3 linked regions of the Caenorhabditis elegans genome follow. The protein of the gene in region 3 interacts with the protein of the main gene of each other region in a biochemical or structural test. Each region holds a gene or a part of one and is shown on either strand. Other genes may lie near its edges. The genes, in order: par-1, pkc-3 and lin-5.

Region 1 (10,303 bases), on a different chromosome or scaffold from region 3:
AATATTCTTATAACTACGAAAAGGATTAAGAATTGAAAAAAAAAATTATAATGGGCAATTTTATGTGTCTCCAAAAAATTGCATCGAAAATTGTATCGGCATATTTCTGATTAATAATTTAATTTTTCTGCAATTTTTTCTCATTCGACTTTTCGGAAAATGTTTAATATTTTAAATAACTTTTATTTTCATTAAAATCAACATAATCTGATGAATGAATTTTCAGATTTAAAAAACATTGAAATGTTATTTTTTTGGTAAATTTTTGATAAATAAAGATAAAAACTGTTGCCAATTTATTTCTAAAAATTTCCAGCGTTTTTCTTACACTCTTTATTTACTTTTTTCAAAATTTGGTTTCAAAAAAAAAAACATTTAATTTTCTTTTTTCATATTCCATTTTTTCTGATTCTGCCGAAAACTATCCTAAAATATTGGAAATACTTCGGTGATACCTTTTAGATTTTCATTCTTCATTTCTCAAAAATTTCGCAGTTTTTTCAAGAAAAAAACCTTATTAGTCTCGTTGATGCTCGGCAAATTGCTACCATTTTAAAAAACGACCAACCATAACCTCAAACCATTATCACACAACAACAATACGACTAAAAGGAATAAATAGTGAATAAGAAAGAGAGAAAGAGATAAAGAAGAGGATTCGAGCAATGAAAAGAAAGAAAAAAACTCAGCACCATTCGAAATGACGGTGTTCGCCTAAAATATGGCGACGTCGTCACAGTTGACTTCGTCGGTGTTGTTGTAGTAATATCTGGTGATGCAGCAGCAACATGTGTCAACGGTTCCACAATAAAGCTCGATGACGTGGAATTCGAGGTGGGTGGAGTTGGAAGTACACCACGTGTCATTCTTGACGAAGCAGTTGAGACGTAGAGTGCTCTCATCTGACGATCAAGCGTCGTATCTTCAAAATGATACGGTCTATCAGTGTCTGGAGGTGTCTGAAGATGTCGCGCATCAACCACCATTGTCTGATGACGTCGCCGAGGCGTTGCTGCTGATGGTTCCGAACGTCTTCCAGCTATTCCTGGCCTCCGTGGAGTTTCATATGATGTAGCTGCCGAAGAATCCAACAAAGATTTCAGAAGACTGTTGAGATGCAAATTCTGCCAGACGATCGGGCTGGAAACGAAAGGAGCACACTCTAGAGAACACACAAACGAACAACAACACACACACATGCGGATAAAAAACAGAAAATCAAACAGGAGGGGACATGAAACATGAAAAAACTAAAAACGGGGGGAACAATAGAGAAGAAGCATGCGTGTTTTTTTCTGTTGGAATTATATCAGAAAACTATACCAAACGAAGAACATCGAACCATAACACACAACCAAATTGAAGGATAAATATATAATTTATATATGAAAATAAATGAAATATTGGATAGAAAATGCTGTGAAACGCGCAAAATGTTAGTGAAATATGACGAAAAAAAGAAGAAAAAACTAAGGATTAGGTCTAAAAAGAAAGAAAATTGGTGATATGACAGAGGTAGAATAAAGAGAAAAATGGAAAATTTTGAGGTTATCTGGTCGTTTTTTTTTAAAATTATTTTGGTCAACAATTTGCGCGAGACAAGAATATTCGTTGTTGTAGGAATAAGTGAAATGAGAAGGCTGATGCTTCGTAAGGGATAGATTACCGATATGTTTGTTTGTTTGTTCAGGGTGAACTTTTTTGGGTTAGAATTTTGGAAATGTTAGAAGGAATGGGGAGTGATTTTTTGTAATCGTTTTCAAAAAGTGTATTATGGAAACGCCAGAAAAATCCTTTTTTGAAGTCCACGTGGAAAGGCTCCGCCTGCAAACAGTTGCGTCTCGTTAAGTATTTGGCGGCAAAACCGTAAATTCAAATTGAAAACATTTGAAATTACGGTTTTGAAGCCAAATACCAAACGAGACCCAGCTCCTGACAGTGAAGCGCGTTTTCACGGGCATTTTTCTGCGTTTCCGTAATATTTTTCTATTGGGAGGCGGGTGCAAGTGAAAATTTTGTGTGCTTGAGACTTTTGAACAGTTTCATGCTACTTTTGGAAATTTTTGGAAAAAAATTAATTATATTTATCTGACCCTTTTTTAAAGCCATATTTATTTACAGAAGGTGCAAAAGCGTATTTTTATAGCGTGAAAAATTTCTTTTCATGATAAAAAGGGGGTGACAAGGTGCTCCAAAACAAGTTTAAAAACTCACTTGGACTCTTTGGGTGTCTCACTGGATGCTTTCTGCTGCTGTTGTTCCTTGTCTGATGATGAAGTTGCATCTTCTGTTGGTACTTGAACAGCTGGAGAGGTTTGTGGTCCGACACCTCCGATCAATGGAACATTTCCATTCTGATTCTCACTGTTATTCTCGTCGTCGTCTTCTCGAATGACTGGTTCAGTCGGTGCGTGCGAGATTTGTGATCCAGATTTCTGAAGTGGCGCTGTCGACGTGGCAGACGATGAGGAAGAAGATGACGTGGCTGCAGTACCACCAGCCGCTGGAGTCTTATTGATGAGCTTTGACATCATTGTCGACGAGGTGAGTTGATTCATATACTGCTGCTGCTGAGCATGATCCCGATGACTTGGAATACCACCATTATTGGCTGCAACTGCACCTGTTGCAGTTCGATGTCCTTGTACAGCAGTCGAATTGAGCGGAATTCGTCCTTTTGGATCAGCAATCTTTCGAGTACCGGTGATTCCTGTTGAAGGTTGAGCAGCTGATGAGGTTGCCGTTGAGTTTCTATTGAATAGTGGCGGAATTTGAGCAATTTGCGTGGTGTTGGAGGCTGAAAATATGGGAATTTAATTCGTGTCCTTTTTCTTTTTGTGACCAATTTAGAAATCATTTTCACCCAATTCTCCACAAAAAACTCACAAGGCTTATAACTCGGCGGTTGCAATAAACTGATTGTCGCTTGCCGACTCGTCGGCTGAGCTCTCATCTGAACTCCACCATGCCTTGTTCCACTCATCACTACAGTACCACCAGCCGCCGTCGCTGCCGCATCGTTTTGCGAGCTTCTCCTCGACGACGAAGATCCTGACGATGGAGCTGCCGATGATTGCTGATGTTTCTGAGCATTCGCAGCCGATGCGAGCGCTGATCCTGCAGTGATTGATGCACCTGTGGCTGTTGCTGAGGATCGAGAGTATCGGGATGGCTGAAAATTAGGAAAATGAGATGAAACAAAAGTTTTGGACTATAAATTATAGGAGGTTGAATGTACTATAGGAGAGCAGGAATGCTTGGAAATTTTAGAGAATATAATTCCTGAGCCAGGAAGACGAAAATCAGAAAACTTTTGAAATGTTTTCAAATATATAAACTTGCAAGCATTCTTGTTCCTCGACATACTACAGTTTGCAGAAAATACGACACACAGACATAGACATTCATGCATTTCTAAAATTTGTGCGTGAATATAGGTTACTGTAGTAGGTGGATCCATACACACACACATAGAGACACAACATAATGATATCTCACATAGGGATGATGATGATCACTCACTGAAGCAGAGCTTCCAGACGCTGATGATGACGTCACATGCTCCCTAGTGATAACACCGGCCGGGTGCTGACCCAGAGACGACGAAACATTGATTGACGAATGGCTGAGCAGTGATTGGGCCATTGTGATTTCACTGGCATCCATCTGCAGAGACAAAACACACAGATTCAAAAAATAGTAGGAGAGAGAGAGAAATTGCGTTTTTTTTTCGAATAATGTTTTTTCAAGCTAGAAATATCACACAGACGCGAACTTTTGAGATTTTTCCGTGGTCTCGACACGAAAAATTTGTGTTAAATACGAAAAGGTTCGAGCCTTTAATGAGTACTGTATCTTCAAATTCATGTTGCTGCGGATTTGTTGAATCGATTTTTTGAAAAGTAAAGTTTTTTTCCTATAAAAAAAATTAAAAAACAAGAAAATTGGAAGTTACAGTACTCTTTAAAGGTGCGAACATTTTCGTAATTTACAGACCGGATGCCGTATTTTTGGAGCAAAATCGCACAATTTCGCGTATGGGTAATATCTAATTCCAGACAATTTTTTTAAAAGTTATCTAAAGACTATATCAAAAGCCGATACATAAATAGAGAAAAAGAGCAGCGATGAAAATTTGTTAGATTTAGTGGAACGGGGGAAGGATAAAAAGCGGAATTAAATAAATTTCAACCAGGGATATTGTAAATGGGATATTTAAACATTTTTTTTCAAAATGAATACCATGCGGTTTAGAAATTCGCGATTGGGTTATTAATACTCAAAGGCATAAAAATTGTGTAATAAGATCAATGGAATCTCGAATTAAAAATTGATTTTATTTTGTAAGGAATACAACTTACATCAGATTTTCGTTCTCCTAAAAGCAAATACGTTGCATGAATATCTTCAAACTTTTCCTTCTCGACGCTTTCCAAAATGGCGGCTTTGTTGAATCCGAGTTGGAAGATCTGTAAACATTTTATAAATTTGGAGGGAAATTTCATGGAATTTATTTTTAAAAGGAAAGCAATTTTGTTCAAAAATTAATTTAAAAAAGATAATTACTTTGACTTTTAGATTCAAAAAAAAAAGATTTCTACAATGAAATTTCGTATTTTTAAGTTGTTTAAAGCAAAATTGCCATTTTGTGTATTATAGATGGATAGTGGAAAAAAAAAAGCTTAAACCACCTTTTCGGTACCAAATCTTAAAAATTCAAATCCATTTTTCATTTTTCAAAGTTAAATATTGAAAAAAAAACATTTTTCGTCTAAAAGCTATCAGTTTGAATTTCTCTGATTTTGTGAAGCCCTGGTACGTTGGAGCGCACTTGCAAATTATATTTTTTTTCAATATTCATTTTTTCATTACAATTCGCCTAAGAGAATTACTTTGAAAATTGAATTTAATTAGGTGAAAAATTGAACTTTTTTCCAAATTCCAGCTTCAATTTAAAATTTTAAAAAATTGCAAAACTTTTTGAAAAAAATAATCATAAAACAGTTTTTAAACGTTTTTAATTATTATTTTTTTTCAATTTCCTCTTCCAAACAATGAATATCGTGAGAAAAATCAGATTTTTGCCTTAAAATACAATTTTTAATTTTTTCCAATGTTTTACAATGATTTTCGTCATAAAAACTCACCTGAATCAATTTCTCAATTCTCTGTTCATCAATTTGATCTTTTGGTGGCTCAATAAATGGCTTAAGCTCATCATCTTCATATCCCACATTCATCCATCGATCTTTCATAATATTATCCAATGATGATCTCCTTTGTGGATTGATAACAAGGAATTTCTTCAACAAATTCTCACAATCCGTTGACATATAGAACGGGATACGGTATTTTCCACGGAGCACACGTTCTCGAAGCTCTTTCAAATTTTGTCCATCAAATGGTAGACTTCCGGATACAAGAGTATAGAGAATTACACCAAGACTCCAAACATCTACTTCAGGACCATCGTACTTTTTACCGGAAAATAATTCTGGAGCAGCGTACGGTGGAGATCCACAAAATGTGTCGAGTTTGTTTCCAAGTGAGAAGGTATTCGAAAATCCAAAATCAGCAATTTTAATATTCATATCTTGATCGAGAAGCAAATTTTCAGCTTTCAAATCTCGATGAATTATATTTTTCGAATGCAAATATTGAACAGCAGAGACAATTTGTCGAAATTTGGCTCTTGCTTCTTTCTCTTTCATTCTTCCGTGTGCAACCAAATAATCAAATACTTCACCACCGGATGCATATTCGAGTACTAAATACAGTGTCTGTTCAGTTTCCATCACTTGATATAATTTCACAATATTCGGATGATCCAATTGTTTCATAATTTTCACTTCTCGGAACAATTTTTGAAGACTCGATGGGTTCAGAGCAGTCTTGTCGATAATTTTTATAGCGACTTCATGTCCGGTTATCACGTGCTTTGCGAGTTTTACCTGCAAAAATAATTAATTAAATGGTCATATATCTAAGATTTATTTTTGTCAGGCTGTTTCGTATTTCCGACTGGGAAAAAAAAAGATTTTTAATAAAAAGTTACGGTGCACGGTCTCCAAGGTCCGGACACGACTTAAAATGTTCTGAACAAAAGAGTGTACTCCTTTAAAGGGTACTGTAGTTGTGATTCCCTGTTTTTTGTGCAATGTTTTGCAAATTTTCACAATATGTCTATCATTTTTTCGAAGTTTATATTTCTTTCATGACTTTTATATGATTTTGGGTTTTCGAAAAATAAATTTTAAGCGTAAAAAAATGAAACCGAGATTTTTTTTTCTGAAATTTTCTCTCGTTTCTCAAAAAAAATATATAAAAAAGTTAAATTACTTCTCAAAAAGGAAATATCATTAACTATATATAAAAAAATACAGTTCGTCTGTCCGGAGTTTGTAGTCTATGTAGTCTTTGGAGTCTGTGACGTCACGCCCAAATTTCAGTGAGAATAGTGGGCGTGGCACCCTTCGTGGTGAGACCCATCGTGTTGAGACCCTACGTGGTGAGACCCTTCGTGGTGAGACCCTTCGTGGTGAGACCCATCGTGGTGAGACCCTTCGTGGTGAGACCCAAAATGTTGGCGTGAAATTCAAATTTTAAGTGAAAAAAATTTTGGCGGGAAATTCAAATTTTAAGTGAAAAAAATTTTGGCGGGAAATTCAAATTTTCAGTAAAAAAAATTTTGGCGGGAAATTCAAATTTTCAGTGAAAAAAATTTTAGCAGGAAATTCAAATTTTCAGTTAAAAAAATTTTGGCGGGAAATTCAATCAGTGAAAAAAATTTTGGCGGGAAATTCAAATTTTCAGTGAAAAAAATTTTGGCGGGAAATTCAAATTTTCAGTGAAAAAATTTTGGCGGGAAATTCAAATTTTCAGTGAAAAAAATTTTAGCAGGAAATTCAAATTTTCAGTAAAAAAAATTTTGGCGGGAAATTCAATCAGTGAAAAAAATTTTGGCAGGAAATTCAAATTTTCAGTAAAAAAAATTTTGGCGGGAAATTCAAATTTTCAGTGAAAAAAATTTTTGGCGGGAAATTCAAATTTTCAGTGAAAAAATTTTTGGCGGGAAATTCAAATTTTCAGTGAAAAAATTTTTGGCGGGAAATTCAAATTTTCAGTGAAAAAATTTTTGGCGGGAAATTCAAATTTTCAGTGAAAAAAATTTTAGCGGGAAATTCAAATTTTCAGTGAAAAAATTTTTGGCGGGAAATTCAAATTTTCTGAGAAACTTTTTGTTAGCTTAAGTACCACCTGGAACTGGCGAGACCCATCGTGGTGGGACCTTTAAAAATATGGGCGGGAGCTTCAAAATTTATGAGAAAAGAAATTTTGGCGGGAATTCAAATTTCCAAGAAAAATTTTGGCGGGAAATTCAAATTTTCTGAGAAAAAGATTTTGACGGGAAATTCAAATTTTCTGAGGAAAACATTTGGCGGGAAATTCAAATTTTGGTTCTGGAATCAATTTTTTGTTTCAGCACCTTCTGGAAGTTTCAAGAAAATTCTAGAATGTTCTAGAATCATCTGGAAAATTCAAAAAAGTTCTGAAATGCTCTACAACCTCCTATAACTGTAGGAGTTTTTATTTGTTTCGTCACATCTATATTCAAAGAACTTACTATTAGTAGTTAATTATTCAGACTTCTCCAGTTAAGGAAAGTTATTAACTTATTGAAAAACTGTAACTCTGTGGAATTTTTTCGGGGGAGGGGGACAGCTCGCCACGCCAACAGTGAGAAAAATAGTGTGGTGCGCGGACCTCGAATGATGTCGGCGGCTGATATTACCTGGGGTACCGCTTTTTGCCTTTTCCCCGTGAGTGAACGAGAAAAAGGCGGGGACTATTTTGGCGTACACGCAACGCAGTTTTATAATTTTGAGTGTAGAAAAATCAGAACATTCTAACTGTCTCTTTGAATTTTCTGAATCGAATACCATGGAAGAAGAAAATGCGATTTAATCGATGAAGTTTCAACTTTTTTAATGATACATTTTTGAATGATTAAAAGGACATCTATGTATTATACATTTTAAACTCCGCCAGTCGTTGGCCGCGCCGGAGGCGCGGTCATCGACTGGTTTTAATAAATAAAATTTTTAAAAAATTTGGAAAACAGAAAATTTGCCAAAAACCGGGAGTTTGTAACTACAGTAATCCTTAAAGGCGCTCGGTCGTGTCGAGACCGGCTACAGTATGTTTCAAGCTCTAATTTTTTGATAACTATTTTTTTTCGAAATTTCCAATCATCAAGTGCTCACCTTTGCAAAATTTCCCTTTCCAATAGTCTTCAATAGCTTATACTTTCCAACGTGTACATCCTGATCGTTGCGTCGTGCTGCCGATCGACTTGACATACCCGATTGTCCAGTAGATCGTGCATGTGATGAAGAGCTGGAAAAATTTTTATTGAAAACTGGTGGACTGGGGCTTTATTTTAATTTTAAATGTGAACTAAAATTAACTTTTTTCGGTTATGTGTGACATGATCTCCATCAGGTGACACTTTCACCGTTCGCCGTTTCCCAGATGAAGTTAGTGTGGGAGCCATCGGAGCTGTAGTGACCACTTCAGACACTTTTCGCTTCGGGATCAGAGATTCCTCCTCTTCCGGAATAGGCGTCACAGATGAACTACTTGGCTGGCACATAAATCTAGCGAGTAACGACGAGTATGCCGCATTGAACATATCGAATTAGGTCAAACGGACGCGTAAGAGCCCTGGGGCTCCCCGAAATGGAGCAAAGCGTGGAGGACGGACACACTGGAAAAAACGAGGAGAGCGCCGGCAGTAGAAGAGGAGCAAGCGAGCAAGAAGAAGAAGATGGGCGGCCTTTCTCCATACACATCCATCCATCCATCCATCCACACTTTGGAGAAGAGACACAAATTGCATCCATGTCTCTCTCTATCTGTCTGTATTCCTCTTGAAAAAAGTGTGAGCAAAAGGAGAAAAAAACTAAGAGGGAATATGTGTCCCCTTCTCTTTCTATTGCTCCCATCACATCGGAATTTCTCCAAAAAACCCTCCCCGCCGACCGATAAATGCCCCCACAAAGTGCTGCTCCAAGTGCTACATAAAATCGTGTCCCCCCCCCCCCCGCCATGCCTCTTCGTTTTTTCTAATTTCCCTTCGCGGACCCCCGTTTTTTTGTGGCTTTGATGGACGGGGCTCGTTGAATTTCTGTGTTTAAATTTTCATTCGATGCTGACTGCTTGCGGGGCCATCCAACGTCATCTCGTTGTGCTTGCAATTCTTCATTTTGAGTGAAGACGTCAGCACAGAGGGGAAGAAATGACGACTTTTACAGCCGATTTAATGAAAAAAAAAAACTCGAAAAATAGCGCTTCGGAAACTTTTTTTTTTCATTTGAGACGCGTTGTTCCAATAGAAAAGGAAGTTCCAGCCCCTCAGTTAGAAAAAATTGTTTTTCAAAAAGAAAACCGTTAAACTGCCTTTTTTGGATATAAAATCAAAGGTCAACCGAATCTAGAAACGTACTAATTATATTCGGCCACTTTGCCCCATTTAGTGGCTACGTTCATCATATTGCCCGTACCTCGTAGAACACAAAAAAAGTAAGGCGAACTCAGGCGCCGGACATAAAATGTAAAATCTGATGTTCAACAAGAACAACGATGGTCTTCTTCTATACTACAAGCTGCTATGATGAATCATGGAAAATTTCTTGCAGCACGACCAACGAAAAATTGAGGGGGCGATGAGTCATATTCAAGAAGAGAAGCAGCCGGAAAAAATATTTTGAAACAAGATAGAAACCTGGTCAATTCATATTCCGGAAAAAAGGTCCGAGGCTGTTGAGATGGATAATATGCAGAATGCCGTGAAGATGTGGAAGGTGGTGAATATGAATATGGATGATCGTCACAGCACAAATCATCGAGATCCAGTGCAAATGCGTACGATTTCTTCGTCATCTTAACAGTTCTTGAATCTTGAATCGCGAACAATAATTGAATAAAATAGTGTCGCACGTGAATGTGTAAGGTGATCCAGCAGCTTCTGAGCAGGTGTGTCAACCAGTCTGCACTGTCAGTCAGTTCAGTACAAAAATGAGTCAGTTCTTCAATTCTCTCAGTCGAGGCGCTTGTCGTTTTCTCACAACGTCTGCGTGTCCACCTCTCCTATTACTGACTCTCTTTCCGATAAGTCAATAATAAAAATTGAATAGATTGGGGGTGGAGGAGGTAGAACCGAATAGAATAGGACAACACACCAGGTGCACCGAGACGACGAAGATGGAGTTGAAAAAAAGAAGTTCGCGTCTCACTTTTCTTC
Region 2 (11,876 bases), 2.5 Mb from region 3:
CAGTTTTTGTTATCATCTTTTTTTTTTGTTAAGGTTTTCCCTATTCACTTTTTTTTTCGAATTGCCATAGCATCCATGTTACAATAGGTTGTGCCACCCCGAGTTTTACAGAGATTTTAAGGAATGAATAAATAAATTGTTTTATTTTCTAAAAATTAAAAGTTTATATAACATTATGTTTATATTACCATGCTCATATTTTAAAAAAATTGAATACAAGAATTAAAATATTGAATTTGGTAGTATGGTCCGGGTAACCATTCTCCATCCAGATCTAGGCATCGGTGGAGCCGAACGATTGATTGTTGATGCTGCTGTTGGATTACAGGATCGAGGACACTCTGTTCGGATTTTCACGAATCAATATAGTAGATCGCATTGTTTCCAAGAAACTCTAGATTTGGGTGAGTCGTATTGCCTTAATGCAAAATTTCGCGTTTTTTTGTGCCAAAAATACGGTAACTGGTCTTGACACGACAAAGTTGTGTTAAAAGTTATTTGTTTAAATATTTAAAACTCAAAAATTTCAATAAAAACATTCATTTTTCAAAATTCGCAAAAAAAAAATTGAAAAAATTTCCAAATTCGTGTTTTGTTGATATATTTAGATATCACATAAATAAATATATTTTTATCGAAAAACTATAAAAATTGATGAAAATTCCGCGACAACAAAAGTTTGAAATTACAGTACTCATTAAAATTGCATGCAATTTTTCATTCAAAAAAAAGAAGTCACATACCGTATTTTTGTCGCAAAAATCTAAAAAATTTCGCGTCTCCGTAATAATACCAATCGTCAAGCTGATTTCATTTTTCAGATATTTGTACTGTGGTTCCATGGATACCCCGTTCAATTTTTGGAAAAGGTCATGCTCTTTGTGCATATCTTAAAATGATCATTGCTGCTCTCTACATTGTAATCTACCACAAAGATACTGACGTCATACTTTCGGATTCTGTATCTGCTAGTCAATTTGTTCTTCGTCATTTCTCAAAGGCAAAACTCGTATTCTATTGTCATTTCCCGGATCGACTTTTAACGAAACGTGATGGAAATCTGAAAGCTTTCTATAGAAATATTATTGATTGGATTGAAGAGTACACAACTGGACTTGCAGATGTCATTTGTGTCAATAGTAATTTTACAAAAAATGTGGTTCGTGAAACATTCAAGTCACTGGCATCTCAGGAGCTGACCGTACTCTATCCTTCGTTGAACACCGAGTTTTTCGATTCGATTGAAGCTTCGGATGATTTTGGTGAAGAAATTCCACGTGGTACCAAATATGTTTTCACCTCACTGAACCGATTTGAACGAAAGAAGAATATCGTTTTGGCTCTAGACGCATTCGGTAACTTTAGATTTTATATTTTTAAAAACCTGTGTAATAAATTATTTTGCAGAGAAATTGAAATCGAATCTTCCTGCCGACGAATTTTCGCAATGTCATCTTGTTATTGCTGGCGGATATGATTTGAAAAACCCAGAAAACATCGAACACTATGATGAACTTGTTGAACATATGAAGAAACTGGAGCTCCCAGCTGATCAGGTAATAAATACGAATTTAGCAAAGTATAAATTACTTTTAAATTTCAGATCGTATTTCTCCACTCACCATCTGACACTCAAAAAGTAAATCTCATTCGGAGAAGTCGTGCGGTACTTTACACGCCTGATAGAGAACATTTCGGAATTGTTCCAGTTGAAGCAATGTACTTGGGAACCCCAGTAATTGCTGTTAACACTGGAGGTCCCTGTGAATCGGTTCGGAATAATGAGACGGGATTTTTGGTTGATCAAACGGCCGAAGCGTTTGCTGAGAAAATGATTGATTTGATGAAAGATGAGGAAATGTATCGAAGAATGAGTGAGGAAGGTCCGAAATGGGTGCAAAAAGTGTTTGCATTTGAAGCATTTGCAAGAAAGCTCGACGAGATTATTCAATCTACGCTTTAATTAATGTTTTTTCTTGAAATTTGGGTTTTAAGCGTTTCGTTTTAGAATCGCCAGTGTATTTTTTGTGATAGTCCTATGTGCTTTAAATTATTTATTTTGAAAGGTTCAATAAATTATATTTTATGACCGAACACATTATATTCTCAGTTGTTATCTTATATATCCACACCGGAATGTTGAATATCTGACCATATATATTTAGAATGTTGCGGTAATTTTTTTGTTGCTGTGGAATTTTATTTTATTTTTATTTTTCATAGTTTCAACATTTTACAATTTATTGAAATTTATGGGTTTTAATTGTTATATTTGGCGTTTTTCGTTTACTTTTTCGATAAAAATAAATTCAGTTAAAAACTAAGTTATAACAATGAAAACACATAAATTTGAACAAATCGTAGAAAAATCACTACAAATTTGACAGATTTTATGGGTTCTATCGCGATTTATTGAAATTAACGTCTTTTAATTGTTTTATTTTAGTTTTTTAGATAAATACTGTTTTCAAACGAAAAACTTTGAAAAATCGATAAATCTCGCAGTACTCCTGAAAGGCACACACTCGTTTGTACTTAAGAAAAATTGTCGCGACGAGACCAACTGTCCAACTACGGTAGTTTTCAAAATACGCGGTTCACCGCAAAGTCAAATTGCGGACCTGAACATTTTTTTATTTTTCCCGCAAACTTTTTTTTTCAATTTTGCCTAAAGCGCTCGAATAAACATGAAAGTCTCGTGTTTCCTTCCATCCAGACCTCTCATTTTTCAATTTTAAAACTAAAAGCACTTTTTGACCTACTTTTTGTCGCAACCGCCAAAACTCGCTTCCAGAATTATTCCCTTTTTAGGATTTTCGACGCAACATCTCCAACCGGTTAGTTTTTTCGCAGATTTTCTCGCATTCGCGTAGTTTCACTTGTTTACTTCGTGGCGCCTCGTTTTTTTCCGCTCTCTCGTCTGACCACCTTCATATTTATTGATCTGCGCCTAGCGGCGCCCGTTGAAATACTCCACATTTTTTTGCAATCTTGTCTGCGAGTTCAGGTTATTTTCGACTTTTATGAAAGCTTGCTAGGAAGCCATAGCAACCGGGGAAGAATACGCTAGCCAAATGAGAGATAGAATCGATCAGCTAAATTTAAGATAAATAGTGAATTCGAATTCTAAGACCTGCTCGACCAGCTGAAATTCTAAAACTCTGCGCCAAGATGTATAGACAGGTAATAATATTTGAATTTTCTTTAAAAGTGACCTTGAACCCTAAGATTTTCGCTCCTCCTAAACGTTGTAGTCTGTTACTCCCTGCCGCGACAATTGTCAGCAAAAATCGCGTCACATGATGATGAAAGTTTGTGGCAATGTTATAAAAAGACTGACCTTATTTCGTTTCTTGGAAGATGCAAAGAAATGTTTATTAAAAATTGCAGTGTGAAATCATGTCTCTCGCTCCAAAGGTGCATTTCTTATTTGTTTTTTAAAAATATATTTGGTTACTTAGATATTAATTTAAATCACGGAAAAGTTTAAACCCCTCGATTTCTGTTATTTAACATGATCACTCACTTTTATAACAATTAATTTGGTTTTTCAAAGATGTTCCCAGAATGTTTTATTAGTTCTCATTTCGTCCTCCGATTTTTTTTCTTTCGTCGCTCTCCAATTTTGCCAATGTATTTCATTCCCATTAGATAAGCACCGCCCGTCACCTTATTCTCCTTCTTTTCACATTGCAAACAAATTCGTTGCCGTTGGGTTTCAATATCCTTTTCATTTTTTGTCGTATTGTTGTTCTTGTGATTGTGGTTGTTATTTTATCGCGGTATTATTTTTTTTTGTTAAACTAATTAATTTTTAGATGTCGAAAGCATTCATCGGAAAGCCAGCTCCACAATTCAAGACTCAAGCCGTCGTTGATGGCGAGTTCGTTGATGTTTCGCTCTCTGACTACAAGGGAAAATACGTTGTGCTCTTCTTCTACCCACTTGACTTCACTTTCGTGTGCCCAACCGAGATTATCGCCTTCTCTGACCGTGCTGAGGAGTTCAAGGCTATCAACACCGTTGTGCTCGCCGCTTCCACCGACTCTGTCTTCTCTCACTTGGCATGGATCAACCAGCCACGCAAGCACGGAGGACTCGGAGAGATGAACATTCCAGTTCTCGCTGACACCAACCACCAAATCTCCCGTGATTACGGAGTTCTCAAGGAGGACGAAGGAATTGCTTTCCGTGGTGAGTTATATTCTGAATGGAATCCTTCATATTTTCGTACTTTATTTGAAAAATAAAATTTCAGGACTCTTCATCATCGACCCATCACAAAACCTCCGTCAAATCACCATCAATGATCTTCCAGTCGGACGCTCTGTTGATGAGACTCTTCGTCTTGTTCAGGCCTTCCAGTTCGTCGAGAAGCACGGAGAGGTTTGCCCAGCTGGATGGACTCCAGGATCCGACACCATCAAGCCAGGAGTCAAAGAAAGCCAAGAGTACTTCAAGAAGCACTAAATGTCTTACATCTCTAATTTCCCCCGTATCCCTAGTATTTATCTGAACGGTTTATTTATACTCATTTTTCATTTTGATACTGAAATTCTGAAATTCATGAAATTGCTTGATAACCGTAAAATAAACTCGGTATTCGAATATAACTGTTTCTGTTCAGGAACAAACAATATGTGTCGAGACTCTCTCTCTGTTACTTTTTTGTCACTTTCCTAGACCGCCCGTGTTAGTCGGTGCGCGCGCATCGTCGTCCTGTACAGTGTTTGTGAGGGTCACCTGTGATTATTCATTTCTCTATGCCTCTTCAAAGCTGGGCCGCTCTCACTGACCTGTACACTTGGACAAAATGGGGGTGTTCGATAGAGCGTCAATGCATATATAGCTATAACAGTGTGTGTGTGTGTATGTGCATGTTTATTCATGAGTCATTTTTCCCTTTTTTACTCTAATACTGCCAACTCGTCACTGTTTCAGTTTCGCAGTTTTCGTTCAGAACTCCTTTTTTTGAACCGTTTTTAGTTCAATTTTTATTTCAGAATGTCGTCTCCGACATCATTAGAGGAGGACGGAGATATTAAGCTAAAAACGAGGTTTCAAGGACAGGTGAGATATGAAAAGTGGCTTTTGAAATGCTCAAAAATCGAGAAATACCCTAAAAATGAATTTTTCGTTGCAGTGAGAATGTGTAAATCATTTCGCCGTCAATGCGAAATTTTAGTTTGTCAAAGCTTTAAAAATTCGTAACAGAGAGAAAATTCCAGACAAAAAATAGAAAAAGACCGTGATAACCGAATAAAACTGTAAAAAATTAATTTTTCTGAACTTTTAATGATTTGATTAATAGTGTTTAAAACTTAAAAAGCTCTTTTCCGGCTAAAATTAAAAAAAAACAACCACTGATTTTTTAAAAATTCTGCAAAATTGAAAAATAATTTTTGTTACTGTATAACTTTTTTTTTTTAATCTGAAAAATTCCAGACTCCCAAATTTTAATAAAAATTAAATTCCAGGTAGTAGTACTCTATGCTCGACCACCGCTCATTCTCGATGACTTTTTTGCACTTTTGAAAGATGCTTGTAAACAACACAAAAAACAAGATATTACTGTAAAATGGATTGATGAAGATGGAGATCCAATCTCAATAGACTCACAAATGGAACTTGATGAAGCAGTTCGATGTTTGAATTCTAGTCAAGAAGCCGAGTTGAACATTCACGTTTTTGTTGGAAAACCAGAGCTGCCCGGGCTTCCGTGTCAAGGAGAAGACAGTAAGTATCATGAAGCTATCAGAAAAATTATTTAGAATTTCGAAAAAATGTGCGCCTTCAAAGAATACTGTAAAGCGGAATTTCTATCAATTTTTATAAAAAGATTGAAATGAAACAATTAGAAACACATAAATTTTGGAATTTTGGAAAATAGATCAAACTTCCGCAGTTTGAAACTACAGTAATCTTTAAAGGCACACAATTTCTCGCGTTTAACAAGAAATTTGTCGGAGGAAAAATCGGAAATTTTCGAGTCTGAGAAATGTTTTTTTTCCAGAAACTGTATATCGAAGAGGTGCTCGACGATGGAAGAAAATTTATCTGTACAATGGGCATCGATTCCAAGCGAAACGGCTGAATCGGTAGGTTTTTTTTTCTGATTTACAGCCTCCGGAGCTTCTTTCTTTTCAGCCGTATTCAATGCTTTATTTGTCATGACTACATATGGGGAATTGGACGGCAAGGCTTTCGATGTGTGGATTGTCGTTTATGCGTGCACAAAAAATGCCATCGGCATGTGCGAACGCATTGTGGTCAGGTAATTCTTTTTTTTTGTAGCGAGGATAGCTTCTAAATTATTCCAAAATTTTGAAACTAAGACCTCCCAGACTTCTGTTTTTCAATTTTTACAAATTTCTGTGCAAAACAGGTTTAAAGCTTAAATTTTTAAATTCCTCATAAAAATCTAAATCATTTTCAGGCTCTCCAAGGCCCGAATATTATCCCAATGGCTCCTGCAAGTGGTTCTCTAAAGGGTGCTCGATCGAATACAAGCTCATCTACAACGCGGTCGGGTGGAGGAATTGATAACGGAGCATTCCACGAGCACGAAATCGAATCACCCGGATCCACGAGTCATGATGCTAGCAGAGCTATGGTAAGCTTTTGAAGTTGGAGCCAAAATTTGAAATAAAATATATTTGAAATTTGATATAAATATCTTTGTCTTCACGTCTCCGAGGGATCGTAATAAATTTAATTTAATATTCAGAAAAGTTAATTTTTTTTGAAATTTATTAGTTTATTTCCAAAAAAACATAACTTTTATTTAAATAAAACCATCTGAAAAGTCTCAGATTTACAATAGCTGAAAATGAAATAACTCTTGTTAAAAAAAACAATTTAAATTGGAAAGTCTTTGAAATAGTGGTAGTTAATTGAAATATTTAATTAAGTTTAATCCAAAGTTCAATTAAATATTAGGTTCTTCCTGTTGCAATTTCAATTTCAAATTTCTAGATACGTGATATATGTAACTCTTGAAAAACATTCTAGATTTCTAGACTCAACTACATTTTTTTGTTTTTTTTTGGATGAACAAGTTTTTGTAGTTTCACTCTTTCTCTTGCTCTCAAAATTTTTATTCATTTCCAACCACAATTCCCTTCCTCGCTGCGAATTCTGATTTCTTCCTGATATCAAAATATTTTAATATTTCAACGTATGGCACTTTTCTGTCAGTGCTTCCCAGTATCAGATAAAAAGAAACGGCGAAAAGTATTTTTAAAGTTACATAGATTCAAATACTAAAATTTTTTAATATTTCAGAATGGAAATGGGTCGTCAAAATGGGCAGTTTCTCTGAACGATTTCCGTCTTTTAACAGTTATTGGACGTGGATCTTATGCAAAAGTTGTGCAAGCAGAACATGTTTCAACTCGTCAAATTTACGCGATAAAAATTATCAAAAAGGAGATGTTCAATGAAGATGAAGATATCGATTGGGTACAGACGGAGAAGTCAGTATTCGAAGCAGCGTCAAATTATCCATTCCTTGTTGGATTACATTCTTGCTTCCAGGTTGGTAACTTTCTTTTTCTTCGATTTTTTCAAATCTCAAATTTTCGCATTAAAAATTTTAAACCAAAATTTTGATAATTTCAGACCGAATCCCGCCTGTTCTTTGTCATCGAATTCGTTCCTGGAGGTGATCTGATGTTCCACATGCAACAGCAACGGAAGCTTCCAGAAGAGCACGCTCGATTCTATTCGGGTGAAATAATTCTTGCTCTTCATTTCCTTCATTCTCGCGGAATCATTTATCGTGATCTCAAATTGGACAATGTTCTGATTGACGCTGAAGGACACATAAAACTGACAGATTATGGAATGTGTAAAGAGAATATTAAGGATGGAGATTTAACTTCAACTTTCTGTGGAACACCCAATTATATTGCACCAGAAATATTGAGAGGTGATGAATATGGATTCAGTGTTGATTGGTGGGCATTGGGAGTGTTAATGTAAGCCTTTTTTGGTTGAACATTTATTTTATTTAAATCGTTTTAGGTTTGAAATGATGGCTGGTCGATCTCCATTCGATATTGTTGGAATGCAGAATTCCGAGGAAAATACAGAAGATTATCTTTTCCAAATCATTCTTGAACGACAGATTCGAATCCCTAGATCACTTTCTGTACGGGCTTCTGGTATTCTAAAGGGATTCCTGAACAAGGATCCAACAGAACGTCTGGGATGTAAGCTTGACATTAATGAAGGTCTTCGTGATATGAAAGAACATCAATTCTTCCGTGGATTCATTGATTGGGAAGCTTTGGAACAGAAGGCTGTCGCACCTCCATATCATCCAGCTGTGGAAAGTGATCGCGATTTGACACACTTTGATCATCAGGTAATTTTAATTTCTTCAGAACTTAACTTTAAAAAAAAATTAGTTTTTGTTTACTAATAAATTATTGAATCAAAATATTTTAAAACTAATTCAAAATGCTTGTTTTTTTTTTCAGTTCACCGACGAACTTCCACAATTATCACCTGACAATCCAGATGTTATTGCACGAATTGATCAATCAGAATTTGATGGATTTGAATACGTGAATCCTCTACAAATGAGTCGGGAAGATTCAGTCTGATTCCCCCACCATCCCCCGAGTCCCAAATATTTATTTTCTTCGGTATACTTTTTTGTGATTTTTATTATTATTCTCGAATCCCATCTCCTTCGCCCACTGTCTTATACGATACTATGACACACTAACTCGTGGCATAATCAGTATCCTAACTTATTTTCTTTTTCTCAACATCTGTTATACATTTTCTCGCAACAATCACTTCTACTCGTCTTGTGGTATCTTACAATCCCGAAAAGGTTGTGATTTTTTTTGGTTTCTGTTAAAATCTAGACTATTCATACTTGCTAGGAATACCTAATGCTTGATGACCTCCCCTTCTAAATACACCTTCTTGTTACTTTTCTTGTCAGCTCATTCATTTCCCTGAAATATATGTAAAATTGCGGCGAAGACTACGATCAATGTAGTCTCTTCGCCATCTGACACTTCTTTTGTGCCACGTGTGGAACTCGATTTAACTTCAATTCAATTTACATGTTCTTCCATTTGACCACTTCCCTTACTTATTTATTGACAAACAAAAAAAAATTGCATTTCAATGGTCTTTATCAGTTCTAATGTGGGCGCCAATTCATTTCATCATCACAGTCTGAATCACCTTCCTCGCTTGCTTTTTCAAAGTTTTCTGGGCGCGGGCGGGTAGAAAAGTCTTAAAGGGACGTTCGAGCACAATCTCTCGTAGTCCACAGTCGGCTTCATAGAAGTTGAGAAGTGCTCTGCAAAATGCCTCGCCGAGAGCTTCATCTGAAAATTGAACCAAGTTACAGTAGGAAATCACTGAAAAAAAACCTACATTTATATTGAAGATATGGCGTACAATGTTGTATTCCATTTCCAGAAGAGTCTGTATGGCGATAAGAGAAGAATGATACTTCAAGTGTATAGCAAAGGCAGGAAAGTAGATCTCCCATCGTTCTGAAAAGTTATGAAGGGTCCTGACACGACTGGCATTTTTCTGCTACAGTAACCCAGCGTGTTTTTCTCAACTCCGTGTTTCCCAATGTATTCATTTTGAAAATATGCATATATTTTCTAGAAACATCATTATAAAACCACACAAAATATTGAGAAAATGTTGCAAAATAGAGATTGAAAGTAAAAGGTACTGTTGCTGGAAATGTTCACTCACGCCAGGACCCACAGTCGTGTTTTTGCACGCAGATACTACGGATGACCATGTGAGAAATTACTAGCTATTGCAAAATTCATATCGTGGCAAGACCCATCAAATTAAAATCACGACTATTCGAAATCCATAATAAATTATTCGTTCCCTTCCATATAAAAAATCTCACCTTCTGCCAGTACCAGCCTTCTCCACATCCGTGTTGAATTGAGTGAACTCGAGCGAATAATCTTCGGAAAGATCTGCCAGCAAATGCGGAAGCCATAACTGCCGGAAAGTCGATTTTTCTTCGACCGAAAATTAGAAAAAAATGTTTCAGAAAATTTAAATTTTGTGGTCATTGCAAAGTTGAGCGAAACTATGAAAAGATTAGGGTTTAAAATTGTGAAATGCTGTAGATAACTGCTAAGTTTCGGTAGTATCAAGACCGGGTACTTTGTTTAAAATCGCTAAGTTCTTCAATCGGCTAATATCGGGTCTCGCCACGGACAAAATATTTTCAATAGTTGCTGTACCCCTTCAAGAAATACAGTAACTCATAACTGATTCTTGAAGTTGCCCGAACCAATTCACAAAAAAATTCACAACTTACAGCTGACATATTCACATTTCCATACAAAAAACAATTTGGCTTCTGAGAATGGGCATGTAGATCAACGTAGATTACAGTTTGGGCTTGCTGAAATATTCAAGAACAGATCCTAAAACTTCTACAAATTATTGATTCATTTATTCCTAAAATTGACACATAACAGTGAGCATGGCAACTTTCCCACAATGTTTCAATTTAACCATAGTCTACAGTAATCTAGGATTTTGATCGCTTCGAGATACAGTCAACTTGAATGTATCATGGGAATTGCAAAAAAAAATTGATGAAAATGCTCAAAAGTCCTACAAAACACTGAATATGTATATCGATAAATTCCCAATATCGATAAATTTAACAGCTCTCACCGGATTATTATCATATTGCGTCAGTAAATTCTTCACAGCATAAATTGAAGGATGAGCCCAATCTGAAGGGGTTCTCCACATTCTATTCAAGTCATGACCCATTAGAGAACATCTGAAATGACCTTCTGATAAGGTAGGCACTGTAGGTAGGTACGCCTTTATGCCTGGGCCGAGAGGTTGTTGGTGACGAGGAATGCCTACCTAGGCTGTTTGCAAAAAGTTACCTATAATTTCCGAGAAAAACGCCATCTGGATTAAGCATTGGAATAATTTTGAAACAATAAACTTTTCTCAACTTCTGTGCTCGATCATCTTTGGAAACAAGAAATTCAATAATTCCATGCATAACATGACTACTCGGTGACTCTCCAGGATGAACTCGCGCAGTTAGAAAAATCATTTTCTTGGATCCTTGGAATGTGTCAGGTGTTGCATCAATTGTTATCAAGTCGACACGACGTTTTTGCTGAATTATTTTCCAAAAAGTTTCAGACTATTCCATGAATATTTCCAATTTACCACAGTTTGAACCAAAAGATCTCTATGAAAAAATGGGTATTTTCTGGATTCCAACTCATTCAACCATATCTGCATTTGTCCATAAGTATACGGTATACAGTATGCAAATTGAACAGGATCTGGTGATTCAAATATGAAAGCAAATGAAAGAATCCAACGATCATTGTGTTGGGAACTACGGTAGTAGTAGATATGGCGAGATGGGATTCGAGCCCTAAAATGTTGAAATGGCTCTTTAAAATAGAAAATCGAGGGGTTTTCATCATACCAACTATTTTGAGCATTTGATTTGACTACAGGTGCTGCAATTCCCATTTCGAATAGTGTTCTTTGTTTTGAAAAGTTCACAATATTGAAGATCGCCCGCTGAAGAATTTGCAAATTTGATAATAAAATTTTAAAGTTTAAACTGCATAATTACACTAATTTTCAAATAGTACCCAGTCAAAAAGGTGTGCGCCTTCAATCAATACAGTAACCGCCGGTAACTTTCAAAACGAGGAATGGGTTACTGTATTCTTAAAGGCACACACCTTTTAGCGCGGAAAATAGAGTACTGTAGCTAGGAAAAAAGTTGTCTCAAAATGTTCTCCCCGAAAATAAAGAACATATTTAGGTATACTGGAAAATTCGTAAATATTTCAGAACCATGGCCATTGCAGAAA
Region 3 (8,564 bases):
TCATATTTTTTGCATAGCTAAAATGGTATATTATAAGGTAGAATTAAAGACATTTTCAGATATCAAACGACTCGGAGATAAACCGATAAAACATTAAAAAGAAAATTGAACTTTCAAAAAGATATATTCATTAGATGAATCAACATTTTGAAAAGAGATTCTTCAACAGAAAAGTTATGGAATGTTAGAAGAAAAAAGATGAATTCGATGAAACAGAGTTGATAGTAACGAAATAAATAAAGGAGTCGTTTAAATCGTATGGAAGGAGAATGAATGATAGAAACAGGGAGAGAGATAGATATGCTTTGAACTGTAGTATGAAATGAGACAAAAAATAAAAAATCGAAAGCTTAACGAAATTAACAAAACTCGAAATTCAAAATTCACAACGATCGAGGAGATACTTGGCGAGAGCCCAACCATCAAGTTCGAATGCCTCTGAAAATGAAAGATTCGAAACTTTGAGAATAACCTATTTTACCTCTTCCTTCGACGACTTTTCGTTCACCAGTGGCGGAGTTGGTCATCAGTATCAGCTTCGTTTTAGTGTTGTCGACATCAGTGTGACGAGCAATACCATCAACAGTCCAGGTTGTTTCTGAAATGTAATAAAGAACAATTTACGAGGATTTTAAAAAATAATTTACCATCTTTCACAATGACTGGGGGAGCAAGAGTTCTTTGACGGCCATTTGATGTTTCCGCATTTATAGACTTTCTCTGAAAATACATCATATATATACATATTATTTTTATGCACTCGAACCCACCTTAGACGTTGGGATAACTGAAGATGCGCTGGCAACTGGACTTTCGCTTGGGTCTTTCTTTATAACGACCTCTCTTGGCTTTGGTGGTGTAGATGGTCGCTTGACAGGTTCTTCTGCTTTTTCCTCAACTGCCTTCACTACTTTTACTTTGCTCGCTATTTTCTCAACATCACTGAGTGGCGCCGTAGTTTCTGCCTCGTCATCGGAAGATTCTTCATCAAGCCAATTTCTTCGGGTATCACGAACTTCCATTGCAGCTTTCTTCGCATTGTTTGGAGCTACTGGACCAGAAACCGTTGCTTCGTATGACTTGAGTGCAGCTTTCGTTGGGACTTTTGGAACTTTTGATGATACAGGAGTTTCGTTTTTAGCAGATCTGCAAAAATCGATTTAAAAAAATGGAATTCTCTCCATTAGCATCATTCCCGACAATTACGTGTGGATGTATTTACATTTTTGAAAAAAAAAACAACACCACTATTCAAACTATTGTCGTTTAATAAAGAATTTAGCTCACTTTTTACTTTTCTTCGATGTCTTCGGAGTACCGTAGCTACCGTCGCTGTCATGGTTAGACTCATGGTCACTAACCGTCTTCGATCGCTTTTTTGATTTTTGCGATTTGTTCTTTTTTATTTGCTTTTGAAGAAGTTCAATAAGCTCTGTTTTGTCAGTGACTTTCAATTTTTTGTAGTACTCTGCAACAACTTCGCTGGCACACTCTTGCAGATCTTCTTCGGGTTCCCAGGTATCCTCGTCGGCGCCATAACCCAACCAACGAACCTAAAATGTGGACAATTAAGTTAAGAAATAATTTCGTGACTTACTTGAAGCACTAGCAGATTATCTGTAACTTTATGAGCAAGAATCTTCTCAACTTCAAAAATCTCGTCAGACTTTCCCTCTCTTGCTTCGGGCTCTCGAGACTCTTCACGTGAACCTTCTGTAAAATCTATTCTAGGTTTTAATAAATAAATAAAAACATACCATTACTCATCTTCACAACTTTTAGAGATTATTAGTCGACAGTTAAAATCGATTGAAGATTAGAAAATAAGACGGAATTTTCAAAAGAAAACTCAGCGACAGCAGCAACGACGCTCCGAAGTTCTGCTGCGCGCCCTCTTTAGCGGAGTTGAGAAAAGAGACTCAGTTTCCCCGGATTGCGGAACTTGAATGGAAATAATTTGTTCTTGATAAATAATGAAAATGTGAAAGTTTTGCAGTTTTTTTTTCGAAATATTCAATTATTGTCTATAAAATACTTTTTAACTTGTTTTATTTCATAAGCATGATCACTGGTCAGCTAACGAATCTCACAGATTTGTTTCTACGGTAAAAAAGTCCTAGAATGAGCAATCTCTTCAATGATGAAGCCAAAATAAGAAAACATATTTTTGTTTCTATAGACTACATTTTTTAATTAATCCATCAATTTATTCTATTAAACATACTGAAAGTCATATTGTAATCAATTTTAGCTACACATGCGCGTTCCTGAAGGAGCCCCTGTTCCGTTTTGGTTGTCAGTCAAGAATCGTCTTCCCAAATGGGCCAAAGTTAATCGGCCAACACTCGGATCCATGGCAGTTGTAGCTACTGCACTTGTTACATGTTGTGCTGTAGCTGCTGTAACGCTTTATCCAAAATATCATCATGATTATTATAAAAACGCACAAAAAGAGGAACGGGCCTTACTTCGATCATCTCGAGAACAACAAGCTGGTCCTCAAAATGTCTGGATCGATCCATTCGAACGAAAATAACTTTTTTTCATTTGTTTCTTTCTACGTGTATTTTTCATAGTTTTTCAAAAAACATTATATAGGTCTTGATATGCTTGTGATCTCTTTCTTAAATATTGCGTTAAATACGCCTGACAATATCTATAACTGACTGATAATCTTGTGCGAAACTTACAAATTCAGAGTAATATTACTACTAGTAATGTCCAACGACAAATCCGCTGAAGTTGTTGTTCTTCCTCGTGAAAATGACGAAGAATCCAAAGAGCCTGTTTTGAAAAATCAATTCGATTTGAGCACATTCGATATCGATTCTCCGGTTTGTTTTTTTTTCCGCTTGGGTTTATTGGTGAAAGTAAACATGTTTCAGGAAATCGATCTAACTCACACTCGCGCTGATCACATTCCAGATCTTACTGGATTTCCGAAAATAGAGGTAAGAATACTTCAGAAATACGTGTGTAAATACAATGATTATATTCAGGAACTGAGAATGCGCAATAATCTTCTGGTTTCAATTAGCCCCACAATTTCTTCGTTAGTTACTTTGACATCCCTGGATTTGTACGAAAATCAGTTGACCGAAATTTCGCATCTCGAATCACTCGTAAATTTGGTTTCTCTTGATCTGAGCTATAACAGGTGAAGAATTTAAGAAACTTTTATTTCAATAATAACTTTCAGAATACGCCAAATCAACGGCTTGGATAAATTGACAAAGCTCGAGACTCTTTACCTTGTCAGCAATAAAATTGAAAAAATCGAAAATTTAGAAGCTTTGACGCAGCTCAAACTGCTCGAACTGGGAGATAATCGGTAAATATGGAATGTTTCAACATCAAAATCACAAATTGTGTTCAGAATCAAGAAAATCGAGAACATTGGTCACCTTGTAAATTTGGATGAATTATTTATCGGCAAAAATAAAATTCGTCAGTTGGAGGGAGTGGAGACCTTGCAGAAGCTCAGTGTTCTCAGCTTGCCGGGAAATCGTATTGTGAAAATTGAAAATGTTGAGCAACTGAATAATCTGAAGGAACTTTACCTCAGTGATCAGGGTCTACAAGATATTCATGGCGTCGAACCTCTGGTAAAAAGCAATTCAAAATACACTGAGAAATGGGTCTTTTTTGCAGACTAATTTACTTCTTTTGGATGTTGCAAATAACGAAATCAAAACGTTCAGTGGCGTTGAAAGACTAGAAAGTCTTAATGATTTCTGGGTAACCGAGACATTTTACGTTTCTTCTATATCTTTTATTATTGCAGGCAAACGACAACAAAGTGGAAAGCTTCTCCGAAATTGAGCAACTTTCAAAGTTAAAGGGTCTTCAAACTGTATACTTGGAGAGAAACCCGTTCTATTTCAATGATACAAACCAATATCGCAGAAAAGTTATGATGACCCTCACCCAAGTAACTCAAATTGATGCTACTACGTGCAGAAAGCCAATTGAATAACTCTCGGACGCTTCCAATAAATATCCGTTTGCTTTTCTTATCCATGATAATCTTTCATAAATATGTATCAGTTTGCTTCATTGTTTGATATTGAGAACAAAGTGTAAGGTTATTAAGAGGAATCGCAAATGAATCATAATCGACCTCCATATGGGCGAAGCCAATCGAAATGGCCAGATATTATCAGCTAATGAAAATTTAAAAAAAAAACGACTAATCAAGAGTTTGAAAAAGGTTTCATACTTTGAGAATAATGCAGTAGTTTTTAGACGGTGCGGTGAGATTTTAAGAAGAAATTATTTATTCTTCTCGCTAAATAAATATGAACCAAAACCAACTTTCCATGCCTGAAAACTTAAAGTGTGTCAATTACAGAGCTTTTCTTTTGAGAACAATCAAGAAGTTTCCTCGAAAAGTATTAAACATATATGAAATGAAAGCTACTGTAAGATTTTTTGTTGTGAAAATAAAGATTTTATTGGAAGGCGCACTTAACTTTGTCCCCTAAAAAAGGAATGTTCTTTCTTTGTTTTCATTAAATAATTTCAAACTCAGCAATGTGTATACGGTTTTTTTAAAAGGCGCATGCACATAATCTTTCACATGGTTTTATAAATAAAGAATGAAACCATTTTCGCGCGCGCGCGCATTTTTGGTTTTATTTTTCATGTTAGATTCCTCTAATGTTCATTTCAATCAGTGTGTCATCCCACTTTTTAACAGCTTCATTTTTATTTATTATTCGTCCTTTTAATATTTTTTTGGTAGACTTGTGCATGTTGACCTGCAGGTCCATGGAAAAATTGTCATTTGAATTCCCGCTGTTTTTAGAAGTGTCGTGAGAAAAGTGTACGAGCATGGTGTAAGAGACGCAGACATTCTGCGTGCGTCTTTTAAATATTCTTCGTTTATGTATGCGTTCTCTCTCGTTCTTTCGCTCAACCACTCGCATTTTCTTTGAATAATTACTCCTTCTGCAGAATGAGCGTGAGCACATCAGTTGTGAAGTCAATGCTACAATTGACGAACTATTTTGGCTCCAATTTCACACCGAAGACGGAGACAATCAGCTCATTAGCCGAGCTTTGGGAGAGGCACGGGAGTATGATCGCCAGTATGATGTAAGTAATAGCTCATTCATAAACAATTTCATATTTTATTTTTCAGGTCATGCGACACTCGGGAGTTTGGCACAGCTGACAAATTCTATGAAGTTATCTTCCGCAAAATCGCCACAACGAGTCTCAGCTTCATGACCGATTCATTGGAACCGAAGCTTGCAGCGAGCGGAGATTCACTGGAGATTTGCAAATTCTACGCTCTGTTTCTCGAGTATATGAGAAAGGATCACTCGGGAATGCTCACTCGCGCATTGGAGCAAGCGTCATCAGAGAATCGCGTCGACACAGCTGTGCTTCTTGATATGTTTTTGTTTTTCGACAACGTGTATTCGGAAAGTACCGCTGACGACTGGTGGGCATGTCTTCGGAGAGATGACGAAGATCAGGAAGCATCCAGTGGCTTCAGGACTCCGAAAAGGAACAACTACAGCTTGACATCATTGCAAACACCAACAGCTACTGCCCGGCGACTACGCACAGCTTCCTCAACTGCTCGGCGAAGCCCTATAGCGGAGGCTGTCGATTCCCCTACCATGAAGTTCATGCGAAGCGAGCGGGAGCTGAAGCAGTCTAAAGCGAGAATCTTTGGTTTGGAGCAAATGTTAGGAGACCTTGAAGATGACAAGACCAAGTTATCGGCTGAGAACAGAACTTTGAAGCTTTCGTAAGTAAAATGGTACATTGAATTTAAAATATGGAGAAAATATTTTAGGAATTCCGATCTGAAAAGCGACATCGCTAAACTGAAAGGTATCGCCGAGGAGGCACAATTTCGTGCTGAAGAATTGAGCTGTGATCTCGAAGCCAAAAAGGATGAAGTCCACAACATTCTCCAACAACTCAATGAATCTCGAATGACGTTGAGATCCGAGCAAAGAAGTCTGGAGGAAGCTGACATAAAGAAAGAGAATCTTACTGCTAAGCTGAAAACGGTGACCGAAGACAATGGGAAGCTCATGAAGCAGGCCAGAGAGCTTCGAGATCTCAACGACTATGAATTCGCTAGATTCCGTCAGCAGGAACAGGAGCTTACTGAGACTCTTCGGGCGACGCAGGACCAAATGGCTGACCTCCAGGAACAACTTACCGGAGTGGAAAAAATAAGAGCGTCTCTGAAATCTGAAAACGAGAGCCTTTCTGCCAGTGTTGAGGAGTTGAGTGTTGCTTCATTGAGAAACAAACAAGATGCTGACAACTCTAAAACTATGCTTTCCGAGGAACTGGCGCGTTTTGAAGAGACTGTGGACAAACTCCGACAAGAAAAGCTTGAAGCGTTGAGCATGGCCAACTCCAGAATCGATGCTCTTCGTTTGGAACACTCGGAAAGAGAGAAAATGATGAAATCCACGAATGCACGCCTTCAGGCTGACCTTGACGAAGAGAGGAACGAGAAAAAGCGCTTGATGAATCTCTGGAATGAACTGAATGAAAAGTCCCTGAATGTCGACAAAGCTGTACATAAAAGCAACGAAGAATTTCAGTCAATGGGTTCTTGTCTTCAAAATGCGAAAAGACAAATTGAGCAGTTGGAAGTTGCGTGCAAGAGTAAGGACGATATCATCAAATTTCAAGAGGAGCAGAACAAACGAGCTGCCAATCTGATAAAGAATGAAAAGGCAATACGCGATCAGGCCTCAGCTCAATTTGCCGAGAAGTTGGCAATTCTCAAGAATTCTCTAGCGGAAAAAGAGAACGAAACAGTCACCCTTAAAGAAAACTTCGCAAGTGTGGTAATGAAGCATAAAGCCGAATTGGAGGAGAAAGAGGTTTGCTTGTTGAATATCAAATTGAATACAACATTACTTACTTTTTAGCTGTTCCTTCAATCTAGAGTGGATCTGATTCAACGTCTCGAGCACGAAGTTGCAGATCTTCGAGAGAAGGAAAGCGCCGAGATTAAGAAATCCACCTGGATGGGTGAGAGAATCAGTGAGTTCATATTTAACGTTTCGAAATTGAATTTTCAATCTTGTTTTTCAGAAATCTTCCAACAAGCTCCAATGAGAGGTTCGAGAATCAGATGCGGTTCGCCAGACAGCTTGCCAGACTTCCTCGCCGATAATGGACCAACAATTACCGAAGAAGAATTGCGAGCACAGCTTGCCACGTTCCCAAGAAAATCGATTGCTCCTAGTGTGGACGACAACGAATTCGATAAAGGAACACCGATTGGATTCAAGTCGAATATGGTAATCAGTTTATTATTATGCAACCTCAATTTTGTGAGACGAGACAATTTCTTATATAGACGAGACAATTTCTTACCACAAATATTGTCCAGAACGTTCAATTTTCAGTACGATGGACGTGAGTCAATTTGCTCTTTGGATTTCTTCGACCGGTCTAGTCTTCAACGTTCGTCGATGCGATCGGAATCTATCCAATTGGCATCGCCATCATCAGCTGGAGAGTTCAAGCAACCATTCACACCATCCGGAGTAACCAAGGAAAGAGTTGGAGTGCTCACTGCCAGAAACGAGAAAGTGAAGCCACACCTAAAATGCTCGTACGCCTCTGAAGTTGGAAGTACGAATTCGCCATCCGCAGACGAGGAGAATATCAAGAAGTCCAAGAAAAAGAACCGTCGGGATTCGATTTTTTCTGCTTTTTCGAGCAAAAAGCAGTAAAATATACTTTCATACATTGTAATATAACTTTTTCACAACACACTTTTGTTTTATGTTTTGCTCCGTGTTGTATCCTATTTTATCTATTTTACAATTCCTTTCCTAACGATCGCTGAGAAATGAAGAAGTTTCTTATTTTTTATGTGTTCTTGTGAAAATGATTGTTTCATCGCAGTTCTATTGTAAGAATCAGGCCCTTTTCCTTCACAAATCATCGTGCCGACCAGGGGTGTGCGGCGAATATTAGCCGAATTCGCCGTTCGCCGATGATTTTTTCGATTCGCCGAGTTCGCCGTTAGCTGAAAATTTTGAAAATCGGCGTTCGCCGAATTCGCCGTTCGCCGAAAAATCGCCGAATTCACCGTACGAGAATCGGCGAACTCGCAGAGCGAAATTCGCCGTTCGCCGAAAATTTCAAAAATCGGCGAGCGCCGAATTCGCCGATCGCCGAAAAATTCGATTCGCCGCACACCCCTGGTGCCGACGCGTCCCCGTTTGAATTGCCGCCCAGCCGCCGTGGTCGCATTCTCCGCGCCGAGACCCATCGTCGATAAAGGCTGCTCCTTTAACCGCCGAACGCCTAGATATATAAGCTGAGGATCGCTCATTCTGGATCATTTCTTAACCTTTTATAAGTTACGTGTCTTATTGCTCCTTTCTCCCGTTTACTTGTTGCGACATTGCCATACGTCTGTCCCTTTATACTAATAAATGCTTGTAAGATAAACCTCGCGTAGCTTGTTATGATAAACCCCACATCCTAAACCTTTACTCTATGGACGGCACCAAATTTGAAAGTATTATCCACATATTGTGTAGTTGTCGCAAAAGTTTTTTCGA

Evidence for each region.
Region 1: of the proteins of lin-5 (region 3) and par-1, one has a biochemical effect on the other in vitro, tested with the Caenorhabditis elegans proteins (one study listed by BioGRID).
Region 2: of the proteins of lin-5 (region 3) and pkc-3, one has a biochemical effect on the other in vitro, tested with the Caenorhabditis elegans proteins (one study listed by BioGRID).

What each region holds. Positions count from the first base shown.
Region 1 is NC_003283.11:14,117,847-14,128,149, forward strand, and holds the start of par-1 (Serine/threonine-protein kinase par-1), read right to left. Parts: upstream 8,693-10,303; coding exon 8,469-8,692; exon of another isoform or gene 8,410-8,468; intron 8,398-8,409; coding exon 8,265-8,397; intron 5,952-8,264; coding exon 5,148-5,951; intron 4,470-5,147; coding exon 4,362-4,469; intron 3,667-4,361; coding exon 3,523-3,666; coding exon of another isoform or gene 3,499-3,522; intron 3,173-3,498; coding exon 2,887-3,172; intron 2,798-2,886; coding exon 2,215-2,797; intron 1,141-2,214; coding exon of another isoform or gene 693-1,140; intron 1-692. UniProt on the Caenorhabditis elegans protein: Required for cytoplasmic partitioning and asymmetric cell division in early embryogenesis. Phosphorylates and restricts the asymmetry effector mex-5 (and possibly also mex-6) to the anterior cytoplasm of the zygote.
Region 2 is NC_003280.10:5,375,024-5,386,899, forward strand, and holds pkc-3 (Protein kinase C-like 3), read left to right. Parts: upstream 1-5,003; 5' UTR 5,004-5,004; coding exon 5,005-5,070; intron 5,071-5,477; coding exon 5,478-5,736; intron 5,737-6,013; coding exon 6,014-6,098; intron 6,099-6,147; coding exon 6,148-6,274; intron 6,275-6,436; coding exon 6,437-6,613; intron 6,614-7,284; coding exon 7,285-7,536; intron 7,537-7,620; coding exon 7,621-7,979; intron 7,980-8,025; coding exon 8,026-8,368; intron 8,369-8,483; coding exon 8,484-8,609; 3' UTR 8,610-9,146; downstream 9,147-11,876. Other genes in the region: algn-2 (Alpha-1,3/1,6-mannosyltransferase ALG2), read left to right, coding at 245-404, 822-1,355, 1,408-1,556, 1,604-1,963; Peroxiredoxin prdx-2, read left to right, coding at 3,400-3,417, 3,819-4,194, 4,259-4,470; ccpp-6 (Cytosolic carboxypeptidase 6), read right to left, coding at 9,181-9,353, 9,403-9,524, 9,905-10,029, 10,328-10,414, 10,693-10,804, 10,917-11,158, 11,212-11,425, 11,480-11,577.
Region 3 is NC_003280.10:7,855,703-7,864,266, forward strand, and holds lin-5 (Spindle apparatus protein lin-5), read left to right. Parts: upstream 1-4,956; 5' UTR 4,957-4,957; coding exon 4,958-5,097; intron 5,098-5,143; coding exon 5,144-5,761; intron 5,762-5,809; coding exon 5,810-6,863; intron 6,864-6,911; coding exon 6,912-7,026; intron 7,027-7,077; coding exon 7,078-7,286; intron 7,287-7,394; coding exon 7,395-7,724; 3' UTR 7,725-7,861; downstream 7,862-8,564. Other genes in the region: mdmh-35 (MitochonDrial interMembrane space protein Homolog), read right to left, coding at 1-4; Chromo domain-containing protein cec-3, read right to left, coding at 377-438, 482-598, 648-720, 771-1,146, 1,288-1,553, 1,598-1,713, 1,758-1,767; T09A5.15 (Small integral membrane protein 26), read left to right, coding at 2,258-2,536; sds-22 (Protein phosphatase 1 regulatory subunit SDS22 homolog), read left to right, coding at 2,718-2,834, 2,886-2,951, 3,000-3,157, 3,200-3,331, 3,377-3,605, 3,652-3,738, 3,785-3,976. UniProt on the Caenorhabditis elegans protein: Essential component of the spindle apparatus required for spindle positioning and chromosome movement. Acts to recruit or anchor gpr-1/gpr-2 complex to the spindle and cortex.